4 linked regions of the Oreochromis niloticus genome follow. The protein of the gene in region 4 interacts with the protein of the main gene of each other region in a biochemical or structural test. Links are inferred from orthologs where the notes say so. Each region holds a gene or a part of one and is shown on either strand. Other genes may lie near its edges.

Region 1 (6,947 bases), on a different chromosome or scaffold from region 4:
AGCTTGATTATAAATCAGTGATGTAATCGCAGAATCTGCCCTCATATATTGACGAGTGACTGACCTTAAAAGCGCTCACGTAAAGTATAAAACACACCTAACACCTAAACTGGGATTTCAGTGTTTGTAAAATTGTCTGTAGATGGATTCGTTCCAATCTTTGGCGGTGACTTCATGAATGAGGAAATGAAACTGAGTCAGCTGGTTCAGATGCAGTAAGAAGGGAGGAGCCAGAGAACAGTTTTAGTTCACAGAGTCTGTTACCATGGTAACTGGCAGAGAGTTTAAGTTAACTGTGAACCAGAAAACCCAGTTTCCCCGAGCTCAGGATTAACAAACTCCTGGAGCAGGGCCTGATGACGTTCTTCTTCCTGTCAAATCAGTTTATAAGCTCATTTTTTAACACTCCAACATAAATAAATCATTGCATATTTATGTTTGTCTGGCGCTAACGGACCTCCTGTCAGACGCTTCATCTGCCTTCACTGTTTGCTAGACGATATCAGCTGCAGATAATCAATACAAACTGTGTGACTTCAGTCTGCCTGTTAATAAACTCATTAATCTGAAGCTTCAGTTCAGGCTGCGACTGCAGCATTTCAATTTCACCTGCTGATTATACTGAAGATGAATCGATTAAACATTATGAAAAACAGCAACAGAAAACAGCAAGAAGGCCTTTTGTGAACTCCCTTTGTTTTTCAGATACTGTCATTTATATCTGTAGGTTTTAGCCCTGAGTTTCTGTGGTTTCCGTGGTTAAAAGCTCTATGATGGTGGGAAAAAATGCAGTTGGTAATCAGTTAAAAAGCAGCAACTGCTTTTTATGTCATCCTGAAAATGACAAAGAGGAAGAAGAGGTTGGCCAAGAGTTTCCCTTGTTGGCTTCACACTTATTTTCTACAAAGAACATGCTCTGTCACCATCATCTCAGCTTACACTACCTGTGGTGTACCACAGGGGTCAATTTTAGATCCTGTATTATTTCCTTAAAATACAACTTTTTACAAAACACACTAATGTTTGTATTAAACATCTTCAAAGCTTCAGTGATCTCCTGCAGCAGGTGTGTCATAATTTAAGGCTTGGTTAAATCAGTCTCCTTATTTCTTAAGGTGGTATTTTTGGTGAATGCATTTTGTAATGAATTTAAGCATTCAGGTGATAATTTGTAAACCTATGTCACTGCTTGTGATTTATCAGAGTGCCGTGGTTAGCCAAACACCAAACCTCAAAGTTTGAAAACTTAAGACAACACCGAAACGCCAGAAAATGCACTTCCTCTAACTCTCATGTTAGAATACAAATTTACAGCAGAAATAAACAACCTCTACAGCTAGTTTCTTTCTCCATAGTGACTGTATGGAGAGTATATTTAATATAACTCACCTGTTTAAATCCCATTAAATTCAATTAAGGGTTAAAGTGTGCATTATTGGCCTCTGTTAGCTGTCTGAACTAGACCTCTGGATTGGAGTGTTTGTGCATTTTTGAACATCTTTAATGAAATTATCTGACTAATAATATGGCTGTTGTGTGGTTAATCATACTAATAGACTATCCAAGAAGTCTGAGCCCCAGTTTAGGTTAAAGATGAACCTAAATCGAAGATTTAATTTGGATTTTAATTAGCAGGTATGCTGACCCTGTACACTGTACTGATGCAGCTTCCATGTTTCTAAATATGGTCTCTTCTTACTCCAACAAAAACAATAAAAACTCAGTCCAGTAGCCAAAGGGTGCTGCCACTCTAGTTACAACGATCTTTTAAAGTGCTGGTTGCTGCTCCGCAGCAGGCTTCTAAAAGCTGATCACTCAGAGGACAGTAGTGGTTCATTCTCTACTCTTGACTTAGTACAATATCAAAGAAAGCAGATTCCCAGAAGTTCTGTGACCTGCATTTTCTGTCTAACACAAATGGTTTCTATTTGTTTCCCATCTGAAACTAGCAGTTTTTTTCTGAAACAAGCCACTTACTGTCTAAAAACAACTACCTTCTGTCTGAAACAAGTCGTTTGTCTAATTTCCTTCCTGAAAATAGCCAATTTTCTGTATGAAATAAGCTGTTTTGGTGGCGCTAAAACAGCTTATTTCAGGGAGGATGAACTGCAAGGCTGTACCGAGGCCCAGTGAGAGACAAAGCCGGCTTATTTTGAACTGTGACTCATGCAAAGCTGCTCTGATTTGAGTTTTAAAACAAAACAACCACAGAGATGGGATCAGAATAAGACACCTTTAACGCTGACAGGGTCTATATGAGTGCAAGGCTGAAGCTCCGACCTTCTCCGTCTGTTTACCGGCGTCACCACACCCCCGTTAGCTGGAGCGACACTTTAACATTAAACCCGCCCGGTTCCCGGGAGAAATCCCGCTAGCAGGGCGGCTACCTTCACATTTTAATCCACAGCAAAGAGCGCCGTCACTCATGCTAAGCTAGCCTGCGGATTGACAGAAGTTGGTGCTAGCCCGCTAGCCTGCAGGCTAGCTGCTAATGCTAGCAGCTAACCGCGGATGTGACGATGATCAGACAGGTGGCATGCTAGCTGTTAGCCTGAGAGCGGCAGGCCCGCCGCAGCAAAGCGCCGCTTTCAGTGCGAAATAAAAACACTCCGATGCGATAAACAACAGTGGACGGTCAGATCCCTCCACCTGGGCGCTGTTTTACCTGAAATCCTTGTCGCTGGATGTCATTTTCTCCAGCAGGTTGGAGATGTGGTACGAGGCGCTCGCCATGTTGGTGCTGTTAGCCTCCTACTAGCAGAGTGCGCTCGGTGAGGATGTTCCGGCTGCGGGCTCTGGTGTCTCTGGCTGGCTGTGTGACCGCCCTGCTCGGATGATTTCGGGGGTAGAGAGTATGTTTCTGTTCTTCTTCCTCTTCTTCCACCTTTCTCTTCAGCTACAGCGACTGTCGCATCCCGGGGCGACCAGTTTGGTGTGTTTGAATGGAGCTCCCGTTCTCTCCGCAGAGGGGCGGGGTTAGCGGCGCTGGACGATGCGGGGTCGAAGGTCACAGTTTGACCAATTTTTCTGTCAGTTTGTCTTTCTAAACCCTCATAAAAGGTCATTTTACCCCAGATAAAATGAAAATCAGCATGAAACACTCACCCCGAGTCCAAAGTGTGAATTAAAACGACTCACTGAAAGTCTTTAAGTCATAGATTCGACATTTTATCTTTTTTTTTATTCCCTTTTTTTGACTGAGGTCAAAAAGAATCAGATTAAGAGGTTTTATTATCACGTGCACAGTAACATTCAGTAGTGATACACAAAAAAATAGTTTTAAAAATAGTTAAATAGAGGTCAGCTTAAAAAAAAAACAGCGAGGCATCCAAAGTAATAAAATGATAGCAGCAAGAGTGAATGGGGAGGTTCACAAGATGTTAGTGCGACCTTCTCTGATTGATGGTTTGGACATGTGAAGAGGAGGGATAGTGACTGTATTAGATAAAGGATGTTGAAGATGGAGCTGCCAGGCAAGAGGAACAGGCAAAGAAGATGTCAGCTTAAAAAAAACTGACTTGCAGAGATAAGATTAATGATTTCACTGTGGAGGTGACAGTCAGTCATCAGGGATAATGTCCAGTGTTGATAGGAGTCCACCAATCTGTAAACATCTGGGAACTGAGGAGAACACTTTTGGAACTTTTGGGAGAGGAATGTTGTCCCATGGAGCAGATGTTGCTCTAAAACCTGTGTATACCTTTTAGCATTGATGGTGTATTTCCAAATGTGAAAGCTGCTAATTCCATTGACACTAATATACCCCCATACCATCAGAAATGCAGGCTTTGAACTGAGCGCTGATAACAAGCTTGGTGGTCCCTCTTCTATTTAGCATCTGTGTTTTCCAAAAAGAATTTAAAAAGTCTGATTTCAAGGTTCAAGGTTCTTTATTCTTCACATGTATAGTTATACAAGTATAACACACAGTGAAATGTAACCTGACACGCTCCTCGACTTGTGCGAAAGGGAGAGGAAGAACATTATATATAATATATACATTAGGTGAATGTGCAGTAGTAGCATGTATGCAGCAAGCAGGTGAATTCTGTACATTAAGTGAATTAAATAAGAATAGACAATCTGACTATTTTACAAAATAGACAATATGAACATATCTAAAATTAAAGGAATTTGAAATGTACATTGCGCCGGTGGGTTTAGAGTGTCTGGAAGAGAGTCCTGTCTCAGTCACTTATGGATGATGTGAGAGGGCGGGTGTGTGTGTGTGTGTGTGTGGGGGGGGGTTAGGGCCCGGATGGCTTGGGAATAGAAGCTCCTCTTGAGTCTCTCTGTCCTTGCCCGGATGATGCGGAACCTTCTACCGGATTGCAGAAGTTGGAACAGTTTGTTGCCAGGATGGGACGGGTCCTTCAGTATCTGCGCTGCTCTAATCCAGCATCTCCTGGTGTAGGTGTCCTGAAGCGGGGGGAGAGCAATCCTGCAGCAGCGTTCTGCTGTACGGATCACTCTCTGAAGAGCTTTATTCTTGAGATGGCGCCCAACACCACTGTGTCGTCAGCAAACTTCACAATGGTGTTGGAGCCGTGGGTGGCCACACAGTCTGAAGTGTAGAGGGAGTAGAGCAGTGGCGAGAGGACACATCCCTGTGGTGCTCCTGTGTTGATAGTGATGCTGTTAGAGACGCATCTACCCACCCTCACCACCTGAGTTCTGCCAGTGAGGAAGTCCAACACCCATGCACACAGACGGCTGTTGAGTCCCAGATCCCTCAGCTTTGTGAACAGTCTGCTGGGGACTATTGTGTTTTGTCTGACCTCAAAGCAGCCCGAAGATCACAGGCGACCAATATTGCGCACAGAGATTCCTCCAGAATCTTTCAGTTATTTAGTGTAGATGATGAGAAATAAAAAATTTTATTTCATTTATGAGATTTGTTTTGCCATTTTAATGAAGCGTTAGGAAAGGTAAAAAAAAAAAAAAAAAAAGATAAAGATACTAAATGATCATTTAAAACACAGCCTCAGTCATTGAACTCATACTTCAGAAATAAAAGACACAACAGATAAAATGATTTTTTTTATCTTCTAATTATAACTTTCTGCATAAAAGTTAAACAGAATAATATTTGAAATTTAAACAAAACAAAACAAAAACGTCCCTCATCAGGACATAAAAGTTGCCTCCTTCAGTCATTCTGCTCTGCTCTATATATTTAAGATGTAACTTCACATTCGCTTCCATGAAATCCTCTCACGGCCCCTCAGGTTTACCCACTGTCGCTGCAGCGGAACTGCAGGCTGAGAACATCTAGACTAAACTGTGTTCTTGAATCCATCAGTTTTACAAGCAGTGTTCAATGCTGTGATTCACCTGCAGCAGGTGTTTTTATTCAGAGCCTCAGTGAGAGCTCCACCCTTTAACAGGACCTGTAAACTGTGTGTGTGTGTGTGTGTGTATGTGTGCGTGTGCCTGTGTGTGTTTAGAGCTATATTGAGCATATTATCCTCTGCTCAGAAATGAATCACCACTCACACAGTAATTTTATACATGCGGGAGACGCAGTCAGGATATTCAGGATGCTGTTTTTGTAGCTTGAATGCATTCAGTATGCAATTCAGTGTGTGTGTGTTTGTGTGTGTAATACTGATGTTGTGAGGACATGAGTGTTTACAGAGGTGTACTGTAAGATCCTCTAGGGACTAAAACAGTGAGTCTCACTGTGTAAATATGAACATTAAAAAGTAAATCTGGATTTTATTTGATGTTAAAAGTCGTCTGTGTGAAATTCAGGAGAAATTAAATATTGCTCTTAGTAAATGGGGACTGTATTTTATCCTTGGATTCTGCTAGGGCAGCTATGTATGATTCACAGGGCAGTCCCTCACTTCATCTTCTGTCTTAAAAAGGCTGTTTTAGCCCCTCCCCCTCAGCCTGAGATGACCATATTAGGAATAGCTGCTCTTGGTGACATCACAAAGGTAAATGAAGAGAAAAACTCCTTGAAGTTGAGTGCTTAGCACAGTTAGAACATTTTTAATCAGATCAGAAACATGTACATCCTGATCTGAAGAAAAAAATCAGCTGTATTACACGGGCTGACCTCCGTGTGAGCTGCTTAACTGTGTGAATCTACAGGACAGTTCAAAATGCATGAAAAATGTAGAACAAATGAGGAAGGACGCATCAAGTGTATAATCTTTGCTAAAACACACCTATGGGTCAAGGAGAATGAAATTTCCATAGTGCATCAGTCGGAGCCCATATTACCAATAACTACCTCAATGCTGTTGGTCAGCAGGTGCTGGTGGAAACTGTGATAAAGGAAGAAAAGGAAGAGGAGAGGGATAGGCATATTAGGAGGCAGTGGGAGAGAAAGAAAGGCAGGCGAAGAAAGACACAATGAGTTTTAGAGGGAGGCAGGTAGAAAGGTGACGATACAAGGAGAAGAGGGAGTGAAGATAGATTTAAATGTCTGAGGGACAGCTCAGGCTGAGCTGTTTGGACGTGCAGAGGAGAGAGAATGGATATACTGGACAAAGATGGAGCTGCCAGACAGGAGGAACAGATGGGATCTAGTGGACGTAGCGAAGGAGAACATATATGCTGCTGCATAGGATGTAAATGGGGGCAGATGATCCTCTGTGCAGAGGCCTGAAGGAAGGAGCTAAGAGAAAAAGAAGAAGACTTCTCAGTTTGTACGAGATGTTCTGATTGAACCTCTGTTCTAAGTGAAACCAGCAGGGTTACTTTCCACTTCTTTTTTTTGGATAATTTTATTTTAGATTTTCAGAATATTAAACAAAAACAAAAACAGACTGGCTCCGATGTGTTACAGAAAAAACAGTTAATTCAAATAAACATGCACATCACAAAACACCACAGGACAGAAATACCAAAAGGTGGGATAGATGAGAGTTTACAAATCTGTGTCCAGTTTAGCCCAGTCTGGCTTTCACAAAGTATTCCAGAAAGGGGTTCCAGAC
Region 2 (7,233 bases), on a different chromosome or scaffold from region 4:
CTTAGTTCAACTCTTGCTAACCTTCTCTATACTGCTCCATAGTGCCTTAAAATGACTTGTTGCATGCATAAATAAAATAAAAGTGAATCTGAATATCTGCGAGGGGATTAGAAAATGTCATTTCATGAGAACACATCACAGAGTATCCTTTGTGTAGCTTTACATGAATGTCTGACATCATTAGTCAACACCCAGGAGGTTTCAAATCATCGAATTTCACAGTCAAAGCTGATATAGAAGCAAAGTCACCTATGTCACCTATCACATCTATCAGACCTCTGTGGCACCAGCTTAAGCTTCAGATGCAAATTGCCAGTCCCATGCAAAATCAAGATTAGGATATTTTTAACTTATTTTTCAGATTCAACAAGGGTGAATAATAACTTTAATCTATGTCACAATGAGAATAGGAGACCCTGCAGACTGCTTTAAGTGCCTGTGGTATGCATTGCTGGATGTGGACTGGATGTGGACTTCTTCACTGTTATTATGATTGTTATTCATTGTGATGCTGCTGACATCGTTGTGACAAAAAGGATCAGATGATTCAAGGTCACATTAGCAGTGTATGAGTGGCACAAAATGTGAAAGAATGATCAACAATATTATAATATTGTTAATAATATGTAGATAACATTTTACACTACCTACATTGCAGTGATACATATTTATAAATGAATAATGTGCCGAGTCAGGTAGTTAAAGATAGCAATGTTGTTGTAAATCCTGACCTTCGTAACACTACTGTTAACATCTGTCTGTGGAAAGAAGAACATAAACCACCTGCAGTTGTGACTAGTCTTAAATCATGTTAGCTATTGTAATTCTATTTTATTAGTACAACTCTGAATAATTTAACAGTGTGCACCTGTCTCAATATAACTGCTTTGGTATTCCCAAAAAGTTGATTCTGTTCATCTGGATGTGGCATTTTCAGAGGGACAAATGTTTTGTCACTCATCCAAGTGACTTCTGAATAAGATGTGTAATGGCAAACAAACAACGGGTTTAGAGGATTTGTGCAGAACATTTGAAATACAGTGAAATGATGCTCAGGTTGTAGTGGATGTCAGGGGTTTTTTTTGCAGGTGTTTTATTTCATCATTATTATCAGTATTTCAGCAAAGAGCCATTTACTTGTTTTGTGTTAACCGTCAGAGCAAAACAGCGCACTTTTCCGAGCTCATCATTCATGCTAATGTCAGGGTGGTTAACACAGATCCACCCAGTGATAAAGACAAATATTGTCATCATAACCACTGAGATCATCCAACATTATTATATTTCTTGTCCAGCAGACAGACAGTCATGCAGTTAAGTGCTGCTTGCGCTTTCCTGCAGCATAATAAGAGGCTTATTTGCAAACTGTGATAATAATCAGTTTTACACGTGGTTTTTGCTTTCGAGAAATCAAGGGAAGGATTACTGGAAGTAAACTTTTAGCACAGATTTCCCCCTCATGTAACTGGCAGCAGATGTCAGACTGAAGATCAAGTTTGTCTTCAGCGGCTATTATAGTTACACGGCAGTTGTATAAAATTCTAAAATAGATATGGGCATGTTTGTAACACACATAAAATCCCTGCCACTACAACAGGTAAAAGTGGAATGAGAATATTGTTTGATTTAAATTCACTTCAAACAAAAGTACAATTTTCTCACCTGAACGATCATCTGAGTCATTGAACTCCACAACTACGGAGTGTCCATTGTTGGAGATGTTAATGGAGGTGCAGTGGTCGTAGTTTATCATTAAAGGGCCCAGATCGCGGTCACGTGAAGCCTCATTGGGGACAATATCAATTGGTGATTGCCGGTTCCCCTCTGCAACGGGGTAGTTTTTATACCATGAAGAAGGACCTATAGGAGAAACAAATGTAATCAAAAACAGACACATTTACAACACACACAATTCTGCAATCACAATGATCTGCACCAGATCTGTTAGTGTGTCACCTAACAACAAACCTGCAACTAAACTAATGAAGCTTTCTCCCCCGCGGCCACAACTAAAGGCTGGTGGCACCACCTAACCTTGGTCCTAAACAGGTATGAGGAATTCAGATAGACTGCCTCATTAACATTAAGGCACAGTAGCACAGCACAGAATAAGTTTGTTTAAGAACATTGGACAGAGCAAAAATAAAAATATTACACTCTCTGTAACTCAGGGAAAATTCAACTGGACTGTCAGACTGAGGTGAAACCGTTTATCCCTTTAAGCGTGGGGCTAATCTGGATTTAAATGCCGTCTTTAACGTCTGAGTAAAACACGAAGCACCGCAAACAGGCCGTTTATTCCAGTTAAATTGCTAATTGCCTCCACGCAGGAAAACAGTGCCTGGAGCTTGCATGTTGGAACATCTCACCGTCCTCCTTCCCGTATCCCCAGTGATGTCCCGTCATTGTCCCTGTCTGCAGGTTCCAGTCGGACCAAGCGGCACTTCGTTGCGCACGTGAAGGACAGGTAGGGACATCAGCGGGTACAACAAGTTTACGGGGAAAGGGGAAGGGCAAGTATACCTCTCTTTGTCACGCCCACAAGTGTGCGCGAGCGCACGGTCATTGCACGCTAAATACACACCTCGTTGAATAAAAGAAAAATTAGCAAAATCAAGAATGTGATCTACTAAAATCTAAAAACATTCTGTTGCTTTGGTGAATAGTTTAAATAGTTTATTATACAGTTTATTCTAGTTTAAATTATACTGCGCATGTATAAATGCCATTCTATACAGTTGCACTGCCTGAGACTTTTTAAACATGTCACTAGTCCTCATCCAAAATATAAGCCAGTTTATTTACAGCAGTTTTTGGTGCCCTTTGAGAAATCTTCCTCGCACTGCTTCCATGATATAGACATGCCAAATCAGTATTATTTAGTTTGTGCAATATTTTTTTTGTTAATTGCTGCTGCTGGTAGGTTTGGGATCTTTATTAAATTAAAAAAATAATAATTGTCAAATTCTTAATTAGATGTAATATTATTCATCCGAAACCTTGGCCCCGTAGGAGTTTAATGTCACATTTGAGCATTTTACTAACATACAGATGTACTGTAGTCCCCCTTTTTTTCTTTATGTATTTCTTTCTGCTTCAACTCTATACTCTAAGCTATATAATATATTTTGTAATACTCTATTATATAATAGAGTACTTTGTACTCCATACCATTTATTTTATTTTATTTTTTTTACCATTTATTTTAAAGCTTTAGTTACTTTTTGAAAAAAATTGTTAAAGATCCCAGGAAGACCCAAGTAATTACAATCATAAACACCTGCAATGGTCCAGTGATATAATGTGTATGATTCTTACAGAAGCCATTTTACATGACTATGATTACTTTAGGTATTGAAAATATATTTTGGTTTTACACAGGTTGCACTAATAATAAGTTTACTTAAGTTAAAAAACTAAAAGACTATTTAACTGTGCAAATAATTGTGTTTAAACTCCTCTGTAGCATTACTTTTCTGGTAGTAAAACTGTAACTGTTTTTTGTGAGTAACATCATCTCTAAACCATACTTCACAGCAAGTCTCACTGCCATGTTGTAAACCTTCATTTTCACTCTTTCTGCTATCCCACTGTCATAAATCACCCTAACACTCGTCTCCAGCCACTCCACCCAGCCTGCGCTCTCTTCTTCACCTCTCTTGTGCACTTGTTTGGTGCCTTGGTTGACCCCGGGTATTTAAATTCTGGGTATTTAAACTCATGTAACTTCACTACTCCTTGCATGTGCAAAGTCTCCCTCTCGTTCACACCCACATGTATTCTGTCTTGCTTCTACTGAGTTTAATTCCTCTTCTCTCCACAGCATACCTCTACCTCTCCAGGCTCTCATCCACCATCTCCCTGCTCTCACCACAGATCACAGTGTCATCTGAAAACAGCATAGTCCACAGAGACTCCTGCCTGACCTCATCTGTCAACCTGCTCATCACCATAACAAACAAAAAGGGCTTCAGAGGTGTAATGTGTCATCTGTCACTACTACATCTAAACAGACAAATAAATTAAAATCCCTAAAAACTACCCGAAATCAAATGAAAAAAAAAATACAGAAAATAGTGAGAAGAAAAAGATAAAAGACGGTCTGCTGAATATGCACAACATAAATATACAAATATAAAAGTGAATAAAATTCTGATTTGGAATCAATAAATATGTTATTTCTAACACAATATTAATTATAAAGCTGTTGATCTGTGTCGAAAGTGCAAGAGCGGATTTTCGAGCGGGCACTTTCGTGTCGAATCTGGCGCTGAGGAAGTCAATTTACGTCCATTAACGTCACTCAACACAGAGCTATCATGGCATCCACCAAAGCCTCGAAAGAGCAAAAATACGACCGACAGCTCAGGTTAGTTTAAACAGCAGCGTAGTTTTCACAAAGAAATAACATCCCTCTAGCTAAACGTGTGAGAGGTCACAGCAGCAACGCTGTTGGGGCAAGAGTGCTGAAGCTAGCTAGCGTTAGCTTGCTATGAGAGTTGCAGTTGAAATAAGCACCGGCGAGCTAATGCATTAGTTAGCCGTAAGAGTGATGTGACTGATGTGATGTTATGCTCTTTGTTTCTGTGTGGGCTCAGGTGTCACCCTGTTTTAACGTATTTATGAACAGCTCTTGATGGTTTAACAGGTGTAATAATACAGGGCTGTCGATGAGGGTGAATCTTTCTTACCAGCAGCCGAGTCATTCTGGGGAAAGTAGCTCACTGTGTTTGTTAGCAAGTGAGGATAAATGGCAAATGGCAACAAATGTTCGTGTTGTGTGCTTTCAGGCTGTGGGGTGACCACGGCCAGGAAACACTGGAAAATGCACACGTGTGTCTCATCAACGCCACGGCGACGGGAACGGAGATACTGAAGAACCTCGTACTTCCAGGTGAACACCTTTTCCTCTGTGTTAGTGACCGTGCTGCAGGTGATGGTGAAAACATCTGTCTGACTGAATGAATTGTTCTGTGTGTCAGGTATTGGAGCATTCACCATAGTAGATGGGCACACAGTCACAGGTGAAGATGCTGGAAACAAGTAAGTGGTTATGTTTAGCTTAAAATATTTTTATTCTATCAGTTTTACTCGCCTGGTTGCAGCTGACCTCTTAATCTCCTTTTGCAGCTTTTTCCTCAGCAAAGACAGCATTGGAAAGGTATGCGTTGCTGGGAGTTTCCATTTTCTCCCAACAGCTCTGTTGTCCTCTTGTTGAAGTACGCAGTGTATTTCCATATTTGTTTGAGTTCTTATCGTACTTTTTGTGCAGAACAGAGCACAGGCTGCCACTGAACATCTGCAAGAGCTGAACAGTGATGTCTCTGGAAACTTTGTCGAGGAGGTTGGTGTTGCTTCCCTTCCAAGGCAGTCTTGGCTGTTTGTAATCATGTGTATCATCTGTAGAGTAATCACATGGCAGCATGATTACACACACAAAAAAACCTACCAAAATCACTTATCACTATGGCTGTATCCAGCTATTTTTATTTAAATGTGTTGCACAGCTATTTTATTTTCAGCTAAAGATCATGAAATCTTAACAAGATTTAGCAACTTGTTTCAAATAATTTACCAAGAGGTCAATATCTGAAGAGTAGTTAAGTGTATGATGAAATTATTTGACAACATGCAGGTATTAACCACATTAACTTTTCCAGCTGTTTTCAAAACCTTAATAATGTTTGAGTAGAAATTTAAAACATCCACAGTGTTTGTGATGTTGAAATGAAGAAGATCTTTCTGCACCATGACACCAAGACAAATCCCACAAACTTGACAATAAACCCAACTCTGATTCAGATGAATGGAACGTATGGTTTGTGAATTTATGACTTTTGCCACTCTGAAGCCACTTGTAATTTCTGTCACTCCTGCAGGGTCCAGATAAGCTTTTGGACAACGATTCAGAATTTTTCCACAGGTTTACCATAGTCATTGGTGTCCAGCTACCAGAAAGGTATGAGATCATCTTAATCCTTGCATTCATTTACAGTGCTGTGCTAAAATCTTGAGACACCTGTCATTTCTTTATACTGTGCTAGGAAAATAGAAAATTGGTGCAGTGTTTTGAAACAGTGTACAAACATACATGGAAATGCAGCGTATAAGGAAAAAACAGTTTGTGCTATTCTAACAAGCTTGAAAGTCAACATTTGGTATGACCACCTTTATTCTTCAACACAGCCTGAACTTTCTTAAGTAAGCTTTCTTGTCATTTCTTTAAGTAGTCTTGAGGAATAGTTCTCCAGGCTTCTTGAAGCACATTCAAAAATCTTTCATGATGATGAAGAGCTTTGAATGATGAAGATGATCCCACACTGCTTCAATAATGAGGTCGGGGCTCGGGGAAAGCCAGTCCCCAACTGATAATGTTTCATTGTGTGTTTTGCTTTTACTACAGTTCGAAGTGTGTTTGGGATCATTGTCACGCTGAAATATGAAGAACGGAAGCTGATGCCAATTTTCCCCTATTTCTTAAGGATAAGACTTTCAGATACTGTTTATCTGCTGTCACAGTCACTTCTTGTCCTCTTCCACCTGGACACATTCGGCACTTTTCAAGGACTCTTAGGCTCTTTTGAAGTGACTTTGCTGGTTCAAAAAAAATTTTTATGTTGGTCAAACTGTGTTCTCTTCGGCATTTCTCATAGGTCCAACTACAATGATTTGGAAATTGTTTAAAAAAGATACAAGAAAGTCTGACTCCTTGGAAGTAAAATGATTCAAGCCTTTTCCACTGTACTGTAATACTGTAACAAAGAGCTGATGAAGAAAACTACGGCAGTCCATGAGTCATTTATTCTTAGAGAACGTTCATACATATCTATTGCAAGATTTTCCAATCAAATTAAACATACTTCATTGTCGGGCTGCTTTTAATATATACTTTTTTTCTTTTATGTAAAATGTTAACTCTTATTGCAGAAAGTTTCAGGACTGACTTAATTTTCTTGCTGGTCTTATTTTCTGTCCAAATATCTTCACATCTCTTCAAATCCAACAGCACGTGTTTGAGGCTCGGCTCAGTTCTTTGGAGTGCCTCTGTACCTTTCCTAGTCTGTAAGACCTACGGCCTCATTGGCTACATGAGACTGGTGGTGCAGGAGCATACAGGTAAGTCGCTCTTAGCAGCAGTTTTCTTCTTTAAATCCTTTTTATAGTCTTGGCATTCTTCAGTTTGTATGTCTAACCTGATAAGTTCACTTTTCAGTGAACTTGGTACGAACATAG
Region 3 (7,377 bases), about 24 Mb from region 4:
TTTGCACTAATAAAGTTGTGGAGTTGTAAAGTATTTTGTCTAGTATCAATTATATCGTCAGTTATATCGTTATCGCAAATTTTCAAATGTATATCGTGATAAATATTTTTGGTCATATCGCCCTGCTCTACGTGTTGCGTCCACTAACTTTATCCTACTGAATGACTGATTCTTTAATTCCTTTCATGGCATTTTCCACAATAAAACGCCATTCACTTACAAACAAAAACACCCTTTTCTCCACTATTTTTGACCTACTTATGTTCTGCATCTTGCCTTGACCGTATTTTTGCATTCAAATGTTATGTTTCACACGCTCAAAAACCAGAGATAAACAAAAACAGCTAGCTGTAGTGTGTTTTTAAAAAAAAAAAATATTACTACAGTTGCAAGTTTTTGGTATCAAAACTCACAAAATAAGCATATGATCAAACATATGGTGCTTTTTTCAAAATATTTAACACTGTGTACGACATAAATAATTTGGTTACATTGGTTTCAATACAGAAGCTACTTCTGACTGTTCCCTTCTCACAAGCAGTGGATGCACTAGGTTGATTTGGTAGAGTTTTATGCCAGATGCCCAACATAATGCAACCCCAGGGATTCATGTGTCTCTGGCTGGAATTCAACCAGTATCCTTTTGCTTCCTAAACTAATGTCTATACCGCATTACACAAGTTTCAAAATAATGAAAAGGAAAAAAAAACTAAACTAAGTATTTGACTTCCTTTGTTCTTCCATGTTATTCAAAGCAATACCTAAGCTTAAGAAAAAGATAACGAAGACAGGAAGACACAATAATCACTTGTAAACACAACAAAGTCTCTCAGATCTGACCCAGTGTCAAACATGCTTATGTCCCTATTGCACAAACACACGTGCATGCTTTTCAGATATACTGATGTTGAGAGGGGGGGGGGACAACCAACTCTTTCTGGCAGACTAAACAGAGCTGGCCAGCCTGGCAGCATTGCACTCCCATTGGCTCATTGCACATTCCTTACCCAATTAGAATTCCACTCATACCTGTGGAGGCGGGGCACAGTCAGGGGCAATAACCTCTGGTTGCATACAAGTTGAAAAATGGTTGACTAGTATACACACACATACCTTCTTTGCTTGCTTTCGTCTTAACTCATCTGATGAAACACTTTATGATAACATACTTCCTGTAGAGCTTATTTTACCAGAGTCGCTTACAGTAAACTTTACCATAAGAGGACACGATCTATTATAATCCCAGATGACTGCAGTGTTTTAACTGATTTTGACTAAAATGATTTGTTATCAGTTAATCTACCAATCTTAGTAGTATATAAAATACCCGCTTACAGTAGATACAATGATATAATCTATTTTGATCACTGATGTCACTCTTGAATGTCAAGAGTGACATCAGTGTCACTCTTGAATGTTAAGAGTGACATCAGTCCTTTGTTATTATTTCAAACAAAAGAAGTGGTGAACTGTTCTTTTGCAGATCTACGTGGCTAAGTGAGACTCGGTGATAACGTCAAGCGCAGATAACCTCAAACTGAAATGTATAAACAGTGGGATAAGTGACGAAGTGTGCTGGATCTGTTAGTCTGATTCCCGTCCTTATTTCTTGAAATCCACTCTTAGAGGAATAGTCAGTAAGTAAACAGCATGTGGGGAGCATTTTCAGCCAGCACTTCACCTCATCAGTGCTGACAGGCATTTGCTTTAAAAGACATCCATCACAATCATACCTTTGCAGTACACTGCTGCAATGCTCCATGAAAACCACACAAAGAAATATTTAGTCTGACGGAAAGCAAATTTTAGTGTGTGTTATTGCTCATTTTTGACTCAGAGGGACAAGGCGTCTGCTCAGTGGCTCAGATGGGTCATTTCCATTTGAATAGAGGCCCCTGGATGCCCAGTGGGGTTACATTATCAACAGTAGGAACCTTTGTTCCAGCTGTGACTGTATGTGGAGCGGAGGAGGAAACTTCTATATGACCTACAGGGCAGACTCCGACCCACAAACTGAAAAATAAAATAAAAAATATTTCAATTCGGTTGAATTAATGACCCCTGAAGAACAAACATGCTGCACTTCCTTCAGTGGGGACAAGTTCAACGAGTCCGACATTTGTGCAGCTACAGCTGACACAGCAGCGAAATGCCAATCGATACTCATTGGTAATCCGGACTAGGATGTCAAATCTAGCGGGAGATCAATTTTCATACAGGCTGCCGCTCGACATTTGCTCTCCCCCCCGCGTTACAGAGCTCGCCGCATTCGGCTGAAGCGGAGGTTTCGGCTGGTGGTCAGCACCCCCAAAAAAGGGTGTAGCTAGCAAGCGCTAGCGGTCAACATTAACCACAATGTTACTATTAGCTAGCAGGCTAAGAAGCCACTGTTAGTGGTTGATAAAGTTTTTGAACGTGGCTTTCAAGCGTCGGCATTCACCAAGACCAGTGGACTAGTCGCCTGTCTCAGCTGCAAAACTCACAGGACAGTGAACAGCTCCTTGGCTGTCCTCTCGGTAATTTACTTAGCATCTAAGCTAACGAGCTAGCACTCGACTGGTGTTTGCCACACAAAAACCGGATGTTTGGGCGAACAGCAGACTCGAGAGGCTCAAAGACACTTCGCGTCGTCTCGTTAGGTTTGCTAAAATCAACACGTTACCGAGCAAACACTGAGTTCCGGTTTAAACGTGCACAGTAAGCTCTTTCTTTCGCTCTCGCTTTTACCTGTCAGTCGGATTTTGATGCTGGACCCGTTCCTCCGACTCCCAGGATTCGACATCACTCCGGGAAAAACGATCACACAAACTTCCCGTTCGAGCCAGCCAATATCACAGTTTCACCAAGTAATGGAACTGCGAATAACTTCAGTTTCCACACATGCGGTTTGCTTTTGGTTTCCTCACGGATAAAAATGTATTATTTCACCGCAAAGTCTTGCGCTCCTTCGAAATCCGACAACACGGGAGAACATTTTCGGGCAGGCTCAAGCACGTACTGACGTATTGTTCTCAGTGTCTGTACAGTACGTGCTCGCTCCGGGAAGCGTGGGCGTGCCCGTGGTGATCAGATTCTTTCAAGTCTTTAGACATTCTGTTTTGGTTTTTACTTCAGTAATTAGGGCCCGGGCACTAAAAGTACGAAGACCCTATTGGAATTGCTCCGTTTATTATTATTCAGACAAAACAAGTGGCTTTTTGAGGGCTTTAACATATTCAAAAAAATAGAGAAAAAATAAAGAAATATTGCACACGTTTCAGGTCTGGTAAAAAAATTTTTTGGTATTTTAATAGTTTCGCATATGGGCGGTGCAAAATGGCTCTAGAGCGCCACCTATGCGTTGTTAAATAAAGTGCTATGACCATATAGTTTGAGCTACATGAATGAAATTTGGCTCACACGTGTAACATGCCAAGACGAAGAAAAAAATAATTGGGCCCATCAACGCAAACCCAACAGGAGGTCCACCATTTTGAATTGAATGTGAGATTTTGGCGCCGATTTTGCCATTTCCAGGCGTTATACTTTTGCGAACGCCTAGGGATTTGATCAGATCAGCTTCATATTTGGTCAGTGTCAACTACACACCTGGGCCATTTAATTTACAGCAGCATTCATTTTGTTAAAAAAATACAAAAATAGAACAACACACAGAACGGGCCAACATTTAGCTAAAAATCGTTTAACAACAATTATTGAGTTCAACAAAACTCAATAATTTTGCTGAAACGATACTGCTAGGTGGTTTGTTAGCTAAGCTGTCTCACCTTGTTCAGGGATATTAGCTTCAAGGGGTGGTGTAAAAAGCATTTTTTTTGCTTTTTTAAAAGTGACAGCTATGGATTAAACAGGATTACTAAACACAATTTTCACATAGTTTTCTTTTTCGTGTTCAACACGTCAAGCAAGCTAACACCAAGTGTGTTAGCAAACAAACTCATAGTCGATCGATATGGTCTGTGTGTGCCAGGCCAGCAGCCAAAGCAGTTAAGGTAAGAAGATGCTTCTGTTTAGAAATATATGACCAAAAGAGGGTATCTTAAGGTGTGAGACACCCCCTGCTACAGGGGAACGTCACTTACATTGTTGTTAAAAAGCATTTGCTCCCTTCTGGATTTTATGGACTCCAGTGAACCACAGTGAGAGCCATTAACCAGAATTGGAAAAGAACTTGTAACAGTGGTGAACCTTACCAGGAGTGGCTGGCCTACCAACATTCAGTGCATCGACGACTCATCCAGGAGGTCACAACTGAACCCAGAACAACATTAACGAACTGCAGGCCTCACTCGCCTCAGTCAGAGTTCATGATTAAACAATAAGAAAGAGACTGGGCATAAATGGCATCCATGGAAGTGTTCCAATGAGAAAACCACTGCTGACCACAAAGAACAAAAAGCCTTGTCTCACATCCGCCACAGCACATCTTGATGATCCCCAAAACTTTGGGAAAACATTCAAAAGTTTCAGAAGGGTTAAACAGTCCAAAATGCCTCCACAGAAATGTGCCACCACTGTAAAATGTATGATATGGGCGATAAATATAGCCACTATTTGCAGTTTTCACACAAACATTTTCGCACCATTGTACCACAGTCAAGTGTTGCATTATTTGCAGGTTTACACCATAAATTTAGAGAGTCGTTACGTGATGGTCCAAGGGGTCCCAGCAATTGGGGTTATAACTTAGTTGATTCAGCTGTGTGCCCTCTATGGAGCTGTAGAGGAGTACCGGCCCCTGGACGAGTATCCTGCCGAAGAGTTCACAGAGGTCTACTTTGTAAAGTTCCTTCCGTTCATTATGCCTAACTGGCAAAGTCTGAAGAACCTTCGGAATAATTTGGTTTTGTTTCGGCTCAGCAAAGCAACACATGGATGAGAAAAGTTTCTATGGTGGTGTGCTGCATGTGTGCTAAGTCCGTATAATTTTATATCTATAGGTTAGATTTTGTCTCTCAAAATCCACCACTCCAATGAACAACAACTTAGTTCCACCTTAGTCCAAGCAAACCCAAGTTAAGATAATCACACACACACAACTAGTCACTTTACATCTTTTCATTGTTTCTTTGTACATTTTCACAATCATTTTTAAATGATGTGGATTTTTGCACTCGAGTTCTGAAGAATACTTATTTTCAGCTGTATTTTTTTTCATCTGTTAAGACTTTTTTGTGTCTCATTTTATTATTGCAAAGTGAGAGAAAAGGAACAGAAAGAGGACAGAAAAAACTACCATGTCAGCCAAACACAGGAATTTTTTTTTAGGCAGATAAGTTACATATGTGAAGGTGTGAGAGTGAGCTTAAGTAAAAAAAGTATGATTGAGGAGTTACATTTAATTTTTTCATCCAAGGTCCCTTGAAGAAAAACAGACAGTCCCTCAATCCACTCTTCCATGCCGACAACGCCGTCTTTGTCTTATGTAGTGAAGACTGAATGACAGACAGTTACACTCACAACATGTCTTGGATTTAATTTTAGATTTTAATTGTTCGTACTGAAGAAATTGTTGAATTGTTGTTGATAATTTGGAGATTTAGTTTACTTGCCACCATTTTATTGACATTTTACTATTTCAAAAACAATATTAGCTCTGTTTGTGTCATGTGGAGGACCAAAGACCAAAGAAAAACACAGGGCTTAAGTACACGAGTACCATAGACGATACGATCATAGTCAGGAGCACGCCAGGGCTTCCAGCGGAGCTCCTCCAGCTGGCCAAAGGCTGCCTCCCGACGCTCATACAGCTCACGGTCTGCTAGGTCCATGTTCTGGATGCGATCTTCTGTCATGTGGAGGCTGTGTGCAGACACACGGAGTAAAAAGGTGAACTGAAATGCAACTTTACCTTCAAACTAAAACAGGAAACATAACACAGAAACGCGGACTTGACGAGGGGATACAGCAGACAGGGGAGAAAAAGCAACTAAGGAACACAGATCAGAAACTAGAAGGCAGAACTCAAAGTACAATACAAAACTCAAAACTCTGGGTCGACGACTCACGTCTCCTAATAGTTTGAATTTGATGGCACCAACATATCTCAAGACAGCTGAGAAGGCAACAGTAGGGTGCAAAAGTAAGTGGTACTAAAAAAGAAACAGAGAAACATTTTGCAACTTTAGGTTAATTGGCAGTAGGTCACTAACAAAAGTCAACATAGGGTTTTACCAACAGAGGATGACTGGATACATGACTGGATATATATTGAAAAAAAACCAAAACAGCATCGTTGAGAAACGGAGTTCCTCAGAAGTAAAGATGGGTCGAGGTTTGCCAATCTACAAAAAAAAATTGCATCTACAGTTTATGCAAATTCAAAATGATCATTGCATGCTGCCTTTATTTACATTTCACACAACGTCACACCTTTTTTGGAACTTGGGTTGTAAATAAATAAATAAATATAAATAACTGTAAACTGAATACCTCTACCCGTGATCCTGTCATCAGTCAGCCCAAAGATCCTGTGCAGCATGCTTAGGAAGGTCCCTCTGTCCAGACCGTGCACTGCTCTTCCAGAGTTGTTACACTCCGCCATAAGCATGTTAAAGTCTCAGATAAGGCACTCTGTAAAAAATGACTCGAAAAAACATGTTTTTGTAAGGTTTTGAGCTAAATGTGGAAAAATGTTGCCATTAATTTCAGCATGATTCAGTTTACAAACGTCGCCCCATAATGAAGAGCACTAAACTACCTATAACAAAGTTAGCCTAGTTTAGCCCGGGCTTATTGACGTGAGAAGTTTAACCGTCATACTCACAGTGCTCCACTTGTTTTGAGATGTTTTCAGCAAGCGTCTGATTTCCACATACTTTTTGCGATCTCCTCCAGACATCTCACATATAATAAGGCTCCGCCCCTGAAGATGTGCTATATTTGACATCAGCAACAGCGCCACCTAGTGGGAATGGGAAATGTCATGTTTTACACTTTGGGGTACAGTATAGAGGTGGGTGGCCCCAGCAACCTCACAATTGTCCAGTAAAAGCCTTAAGGAGTTGGTCTTGGGTTACACTGAAAACTGTGAGTTTTCGTCAAACCCCGGCGGATTAGCGAAATTCGATGTTTCGCCATGAAGAACAAAATTGCTATAACTAAAAGAAATTCAGTCCGATCGCTAACAAAGTTCACAGGCATGATAACACTCCCACCCAGAACAGATTGCTATGCCCATTGTCAGGAATAGTCAGAGCGCCACCTATTGGGAACAGGAAATGTCATGTCTTATACTTTGGTGCACTGCTCCTCAAAGGTTGAGCCCATCCACCGTGAAAGCAGTGGACATTGGTGGAACTTGGAAAGAAAAGCATCTGGAGTTGGATTAACATCTGTCCCTCATCGTGCTTCAGTGTTAAAATTGTGAGTTTATTG
Region 4 (7,453 bases):
CCGGCCTGCAGCCGCCACCGCAGGAAGTCTGCAGGCAGGCCAGCAGGAAGACCAGGTGGACTCGGGAGACCTGCAGGACCGTGGAACGTCACACGAGTCTGTCAGCGATTAAGAGAGGAATCCACCTGCTAGTCCTTTATGGGCTAACCTGCAGAAACCTCAGGACTTTCACTTCTTACAGCTCAACCATGAGGACATCTAAACACTGAGTGAAAGGCGGCACCTGATTTATAACACCAGAGAAAACAAGAGCCTCGTGGAGAAAATGGAAGAAAAAAGTGATTTTATCATCATTGGAAGCCAAATTTATAAATAAAGTGATGATTAACTAATGGAGCTACATTAGTGAGCCTCTTATTGATGTTCTCAGGGCGCTGTGGGCCGGACTTTACACAGGTGAGACCTGTTGGAAGACCAGTGGAGGCTGCTGAGGGTCAGACTGTTTCAGGATTATTTCAGGTTAAAGAGCTCAGAGGGAAGTGGAGACGAGGGTGGAGCAGAAAGAGAGACGGCTGTTTCTCACCTTAAAGCTGAAGACAAACTTTCCTCCTTTGTAAAAACCCTGAGACACAAAAAGACAAACAGAGGCAGACTCGTTAGCTCAGCATCATCTTCATCTCCCGATTCAGCCCCTCATCCTCACTCTGTACATCCTGAGGTTTCATACACCTGTGTGCCACATGAGTGGGAACAATCGGCTCTGGTGTAGCAGCGTCTGAAACCGGACCTGCGCTCACAGGTGGAGGTGTTTCACTGCTTTTACAGACAGCACTGCTCGTGTTACTGATGCATACCTGCATCTCTCACAGGTGTTTGTCCTCAAAGTCAGAGAGGAATAAAGTTTTTATGCAATCACGTCTCTGAATGAAAACACACACACACACCTCGTCTGGTGAAATGATGAGTCTGAAGTTGAGGAGGTCGTCATCATCGGGGAAATTGATCTCACACGTCTTTGGTAAGTTCAACTCATTGATGTCTGAAAAACAAACACAGGCAGGTGTTACTGATTCTGATTCGTCCTCGGGAATCAAAGACCTCCTTCATCTCTTCTTCTTTCACTTTTCAGAGGCTCACGAAAACATCTGGAGCTCTAAATACCTTGTCTGTATGCTAGGACCTGTGAAAAAGCAGTGCTGACACAAGAGACTCTGAACTGTCCCAAAAGACTTAAAAGTCCAGAACAACATCTGTAACACTTTCAGATAGAACTGGGACCTTCTCCAAGACCTCCTTCAGCATTTCTCCATTTCACCTTGGCATTTAATGACTTCTAAAACCTCTGGACCTCTTTAAATATTCTTAAAAATCTCCACATATTGTGTTCTTTAGGACTTCAAAAATGTCATCATCTCCAAAATCTCAATAACCTCCAGAAAAGAACACAAACCTCCTTAATCAACTTAGATGAGCATCAATGAGAAATAACGGCCTAGACCCACGAGGTAAAGAAATAAAAGGACCATTATGAAACAAATCTAATCAACTTTTATGTGTCAAAACTTTTTTGCCAATGTGGAAGAACAACTTCCAAATGTAAAAAACAAAAACATGTTCTCGCAGGTTTAGGGGGTGACTCTGAAACCACTGGATCCCTTTTTGTTGTTTAAGGCACCAAAACATCTGGACCATATTCAGAACTGCACTGATCCCGTGTGGTGGGACAGAGCGGGCCCAGGTGGTCGCTCAGGTCTCAGAGAGATGCTAAACACAGGTTGGAACCCAGAACCACGGGCCTACAGATACCCTGAGGACCCCAAATCTCTGCGACCCCATAAATCATTCATCAGGTGGGTGGAGGCAAGAAGAAGAAGAAGTAGGTGGTTGGTGTCCGGGGGCTGGGGCATCAACGCCCAGCCTTTTGGCCTGTGTCACTCCTGCTCCGATTATCCTCCAGATAAGAGACCAAAAGGTGTGAAACCACCGAAAACCGGCCAATCAGATCCATGGAAAACAGCGGGCCCATTCCAGCAGATCACTTAGAAGTTGAGAAGGGATTCAGACCTGTCCAGGTCAGATGCTGCAAAGTAGACAGACAGAGCTGATAATTTAGACAGATCCTGATAAGGTGAGCTGGACTCTGAGAATAGGGACCTGAGCCTGTTTTCCTATTGGTCACCCACACAAGGTGACTCACAAGGCGTCTGACAGGCAGGCAGGACCCTCAGAGTCCACTGTGATCCACCACACAGGTTCAGCCTGGTTCTAACCCTGCAGTCTAAGCCGGGCTCTGATCTGCGTTCACCTGTCGCCCGGCAGCCCTTCGGGTTGACCTGCACCTGAGGAGGATAGCGGGTCAGAAAGGTGGGCGCTGTGCTCAGGTGTTCCAGTGAGTCCCTGTGTTCCTACCTCACCTGCTGTTGAGTAGAAGTGGACCCCACGGAACTGACACAGCAGTTAGAGGCTAGCTGCCGTTAGCCGTCAGTGTTTACGGCTGTCCGGCGTTAGCTGTTAGCTGTTAGCTGTTAGCAGATGTGTTCCGGGTTCGTGTTGTTAGCTGCTAGCTGCTGCTAGCTGCGTGCTAACACCTTTAGCCTGCGTTTTGTTTTCATGTAGCACAGCCGGGCTAGCAGCCGTAGCTAACACCAGCTTCAGCCGCAGTTAGTCGGCCAGCCGTTAGCCCGAGTGAGCTACAGCAACACCGGGTCTGGGTTTGAGAGCCCTGGGTCCCGTGGGTTCGGTGTCGGCCCGTGGCCGGTGGGTAACTCTCGGCTAACAGAGCCTACCTTTCTGTATTCGAAGCTGGGCCGCGCTGGCTTTCTTGCCCCCGGCTCCGGTTCTGTTTCCTCCAGCAGATTCCTCGTCTTTCTTCTGCTGCTTCAGGGAAAAGAGCTTAATCATCTTCAGTTATTTGACACACGAGGCGTCCCTTCTGTGAGCCGTCAGCGGGTCTGAGAGGGTCTGAGAGCGGGGTGGTTTCCCAACAGCACCGTGATGTGAATGGAGCCGGTGCGTCTGATCACGGAGGCAGGAGGAGCTAGCAGCGGAGCTAGCAGCGAGCTGGCTAGCGGGGGGGAGGAGGGAGGGGAGGGGAGCAGAGGGTGTGTGTGTGTGTGTGTGTGTGTGTGTGTGTTGCTCTGAAGCGCATGAAAGTCCACTGGTGCCAGAAGAAAACAATCGGGAGATGGTCTGGGCGCTGCTGGAGAGAGTGAGGGGGCCACAGGCAGGTAAACCCAGCTTTAAAAACTCTGGGTTCAACAAAAGTGATGAAAAGCACCTGAACATGAGTTTGAAGGTGTTTGTGATGAACAGCTGTCTCCTCAGTGAGGGAGGAGAGCGTGCTCAGCACCTCCGGCCTCTGTGCTGCTGTTCCAGTTCAGCCCGGTGGAGATGTGGACGTGTAGGCTTCCTGTCTCAGGACAGGTGCTCCATGCAGTTACCCTCTTCCTTCTGAAGCTGTAGGGGTCGTGACCCGAAGCTGAAGCTGTTCAAGGCGGACAGGAATGGAGACGGCACGTGTCCTGAAAGCAGACAAAGTAAAAGCACTCGTTATGCAGAATCACAAGTTATGTTATTGGCTTGTGGTTGCTGATCCATGCATGTGTACATCAGTGTCATGTTGAGGCTGGAGAGCCGAACCAAGCATGCCGAGACAGACTCTGCAGGACGTTCATCTAAAAGTCAACTTCATGTCTCTGAACTGAGAATCAGCCTGAGGTGAGTCAGTGAGGCTCATGCTGGCTGTGCTCACCTTTGCTGCAGTCTGCAGAAATTCAGCCTTGCAAAAATAAAACTAGTTTTTCGTGCAGTCTGCTCGTATTAAATCAGAGTCCCATAACTGTCTGCCTGTAAGTACAGGTGGGGTTGATATGGCAGCACAGGGGAAGGTGGAATTTAAAACATTGACCTTTTGCTGACAGTTTGGATCCAGGTGGATGTGACCAAGAAAGTGCAGGTAGACTAAAAACACTGTAAATAAAAAACAGCAGTGTGATGATTCAGTGTAGTCTGCAGTTATTACAGCGAGGAGTCCCAGCATCTGTGAGTTATGCTTCCAACCCAGACTTCTACAAACTCGGGACCAAATAAACACAGTTGGGTCAGCTTCAGCAAACATCAGCATAAATCCCGTTTTTATGCCAGGAAACGTCCAGCTGGCTGTCACTCAGTCAGAACACCATCAGCAGAGCTCGTCGTCACAGACGTGAACCTTCAGGTTTGAGCTGGAGCTCAGATCACAGATCCACTTTCAACAGAGCCACTGTGCCCTCTGAGGAAATGTTTATAACCGAGTGTCTGAATCCACAGAAGAAGGTCACTCACGGGCTTCATTCTCTTTATAGAACAGTACTCCACACATCACATGACTTTGTTCATACAGCAGACAGTGACCACAGTCAAATGTAAAATTATGGCAGTAAATAATAAAAACAGAAGACATGCACTGGGAAAAAATGACACAGTAAATCAAATCTAATGTAAAGCTGGAACGAAAAATGAAACGTGTTTTATGGAATAAAATATTTATAAGACATACCGGTATTGTGAATAAACCCTGTGGTGAACACAAGAATCAGCGCTGTTGTGTTTCTTTATAAAAATAAAAATCTCGGTTTTTATGAGCTGTAAAATTATTCACCAGCATGTTTTAGTTGTTGATTGATTTCATTTTTATTGCACCAACATGTATGTGCATGTGTTTGCTGCATTTTTTAATCTTTTTTACCTTTAATTTCATTTTCTTCTGGATTCTACTGATCTCTATATTCTATTACATTTCAAATGTCTTGTGTGTGCTAAAAAACATTTTAGCTTGACGCTTTTTTGGGGGAAAGCGGGACAACCACAAGTCCCACAATGCCCTCCGCACTGTGACGTGGCACGGAGAGGCGGGGCGTGTATATCGTCTGTGCCTATATTTTATTTAGCGGTTTATTTATTTATTTATTTATTTTATTTTCCGTCTCTGTCCGAGGCTGAAGCAGCGCGCGGGCTCTGCGGTCACCTGCATGATGTCATCAATGCGGGGTTAAACGTCCCGCGAGCCACCGGCCGATTCACGACACTGAACCGAATCACGCGCAGCACCGCAGCCTCGCGCCACACAATAGAGTCGCAGAACAATAGCCGCGCGCGGCGCTGCTTTCCCAGCCTACGGCGGCGAACGGGCCTAGTTCGTGCGGAGGAGTATCACCGGGAACGCGTTGAAAGCGCCGCGCTGCGGCGGGAACGGGCCGTTGTGTGTGTTTTGGAGCCCCTCGGGAGGAAGAGCCGCGGAGCACGCGGAACGCGCTGCGGGGGGGAGAGCGAGGCGGACCGAGTGCAGAGAGAGAGGCGGACGCAGAGGGGAGTGAATGGGCACGACTGCGCCCTCCGCCTCACCGATATCCATCCGTTCTCTATCGACACAGTTAGACCACCGCGGTCCTTCAGGCAGGCCAGCCCGGAGAACCGGAGCCAGCGGCAGCCAGCGGGATGGCACGCGCATGAAGCAGCGGCGGGCGAAGAAACAAGGAAGCGGACGGCTAGCTGCGCTCAGCACGGGCTAACGTGGGCTGATTGTTGGCGGATACCGATTCTAATGAGCGACCCAGGAGCATGCGAGCTGATTCAGAGAGGTGAGCGGGGAAGGGTGCGTGAGGGTCGGGTCTGTTCACCTACACCTGTCCGGCAGCTAGCTGCGGAGCGGGGACAGCGTGAAAGAGGAAGCTGCTGGAGGGGGCGGACGGGCTGCTAGCGTGCTAGCGTGTTAGCACGCCTAACGTTAATGTTTTAGGAGAGGCTGGGGAGGGGAGGGGAGGGGAAGGGAAGGGGGGCTGCCCTCCTACGTGTGATATTAGGTAATTAACGGGGCAGACGGTATGTACAGGTGTGTGGTCGGGGCAGGTATGCCCAGGCTGGCTGTAGGTGACTGTGACGGGATAGCTGCTAGCTGTTAGCGGCTATCTCCAAACGGTGCCAGATGCGCATCTTCATTATTATTGCTGTTAGCTGCAGCCAGCCTCTGTTTCCGTCACATGTTTAATTAGAAAATCGCGTTTCAGGTGATGTTCTAATACAGGTGTTTCTGTGGGCTCGTGCTGGCCTGGAAGGAGGAAGCTGGTGAAAACGATCCTGGGATGTTAGCTAAACACAGGAAGCAGGATTGCTTCACCCTCTCCGTTTTCATGCTTTAATGTCAGGAATAGTATTCCCTTGATTACTGACAGGCACTCTGAGACTACAGCAGCCGCAAGAATACCCAGAAAATACAATAAATATTCTAAGTAACGTGAAAGAAACACACAGTGAAGGTTCAGAGCAGGCTCAGCAGCCTGTTCAACCAAAACACCTGGATTTAAAAACACCTGGATTTGGACCTGATAATTAAGCAGACCCGGTCTCTTAGTGATGTCAGTAGGTCGAGTTCCACCTAACAGGTTTAAATATTAATGTTGACTCTTTAAGCATGTGGCTGCTCTGCAGAGGGCTGCTTGCTGTTTTTGGTTCTTTTACTTTGCATCTTTTTTGGAATAACACTGTGTCCCTGTTGGATTTATGCAACTGTAAACCTGCAAAGATGCACTTTATGGCCTTACACTCTGCCCCTCAAACCCCAGGAAGTTCTTGTCTCACTGGAACAAAATAAACTGTCCGCAGGTGAGCTGCTGTGCACTCACCTTTACCTGATGGGAAAGCAGGTGCAGCAGATTTATATAAAACAGGTTTTGTCGAGTCCTTTCACTGCTCATACCGAGGCCGCTCATAATCAGCTTTGAGGGGGATTCTAGTGTCTGATTAGAGTTGTTGTGAGGAGCGTGTTCTTGGTCTCCCCGCGGTGAACTTTGAACTCTGACTCCAGAAAGTTTTATTGTTTTTACCAACGAACTGAACAGTTTGAAGTCAAGGATGAAGAGAACATAACCTGAGACTGCCAGATGTTTACGGCTTATTTGTAACACACACTCCAGTCCACAGGAAGTGACCTCGGCACAGCTGACACTGCTCCACAAATGCGTGCACCAGACCCTGAACTGATCATCGTTTACACAGAGGAAGCTTTTTGAAAGTAATTATCCGTTAGAGCAAATATGTGTTTTAATGCTCTGCAGCCACTTTTAGTGCGACTGGGTTTATACAATAAAATATCAAATTAATGTCACTGTAACAAAGTGTAAAGCTTAACAGTTGCTTTAAAAATAATAAAGGTACAGAGATCAATCGCGTCTGTCCACACAGTGAAATGTTGTTAACATCAACCACATAAGTGACGATTAATTAATCGAGCAGCGCCGTGAGGCTGCTGCGAACAGCATGTCAGCTGCATGTTGGCGTTTTGGTTTTATTCTTATAAAATGTTTTTTGTGCCACGTGAGAAAAGGAAAAAAAAACCAACAACCAATGGCTCCTTCTGGTTATCGATCAGCTGAACCTGATCAATAGTCAGTATCAGTCAGGAGGAGGAGAGGGAGGCGTGTTCATCAGGTTTAAACTGCGTTAAATTGGCTCCGTAACCTGACGGCCGCCTTCTTAC

The links.
Region 1: the proteins of ube2m (region 4) and cand1 form a complex in vitro, tested with the Homo sapiens proteins (2 studies listed by BioGRID). The link is inferred for Oreochromis niloticus from reciprocal best matches to the Homo sapiens genes UBE2M and CAND1.
Region 2: of the proteins of ube2m (region 4) and nae1, one has a biochemical effect on the other in vitro, tested with the Homo sapiens proteins (4 studies listed by BioGRID, with this or other methods). The link is inferred for Oreochromis niloticus from reciprocal best matches to the Homo sapiens genes UBE2M and NAE1.
Region 3: the proteins of ube2m (region 4) and smurf1 form a complex in vitro, tested with the Homo sapiens proteins (2 studies listed by BioGRID). The link is inferred for Oreochromis niloticus from reciprocal best matches to the Homo sapiens genes UBE2M and SMURF1.

Annotation. Positions count from the first base shown.
Region 1 is NC_031981.2:19,952,402-19,959,348, forward strand, and holds the start of cand1 (cullin-associated NEDD8-dissociated protein 1), read right to left. Parts: upstream 3,001-6,947; 5' UTR 2,734-3,000; coding exon 2,666-2,733; intron 1-2,665. UniProt on the Homo sapiens protein: Key assembly factor of SCF (SKP1-CUL1-F-box protein) E3 ubiquitin ligase complexes that promotes the exchange of the substrate-recognition F-box subunit in SCF complexes, thereby playing a key role in the cellular repertoire of SCF complexes.
Region 2 is NC_031965.2:17,375,356-17,382,588, forward strand, and holds the start of nae1 (NEDD8-activating enzyme E1 regulatory subunit), read left to right. Parts: upstream 1-4,212; 5' UTR 4,213-4,319; coding exon 4,320-4,369; intron 4,370-4,790; coding exon 4,791-4,894; intron 4,895-4,982; coding exon 4,983-5,043; intron 5,044-5,130; coding exon 5,131-5,161; intron 5,162-5,272; coding exon 5,273-5,344; intron 5,345-5,879; coding exon 5,880-5,959; intron 5,960-7,006; coding exon 7,007-7,116; intron 7,117-7,233. Other genes in the region: ca7 (carbonic anhydrase 7), read right to left, coding at 1,663-1,860, 2,370-2,406. UniProt on the Homo sapiens protein: Regulatory subunit of the dimeric UBA3-NAE1 E1 enzyme. E1 activates NEDD8 by first adenylating its C-terminal glycine residue with ATP, thereafter linking this residue to the side chain of the catalytic cysteine, yielding a NEDD8-UBA3 thioester and free AMP.
Region 3 is NC_031969.2:10,628,754-10,636,130, forward strand, and holds the start of smurf1 (E3 ubiquitin-protein ligase SMURF1), read right to left. Parts: upstream 3,013-7,377; 5' UTR 2,783-3,012; coding exon 2,728-2,782; intron 1-2,727. UniProt on the Homo sapiens protein: E3 ubiquitin-protein ligase that acts as a negative regulator of BMP signaling pathway. Mediates ubiquitination and degradation of SMAD1 and SMAD5, 2 receptor-regulated SMADs specific for the BMP pathway.
Region 4 is NC_031969.2:34,663,975-34,671,427, forward strand, and holds the start of ube2m (NEDD8-conjugating enzyme Ubc12), read right to left. Parts: upstream 3,012-7,453; 5' UTR 2,842-3,011; coding exon 2,727-2,841; intron 2,721-2,726; exon of another isoform or gene 2,355-2,720; intron 2,280-2,354; exon of another isoform or gene 1,051-2,279; intron 980-1,050; coding exon 885-979; intron 563-884; coding exon 524-562; intron 1-523.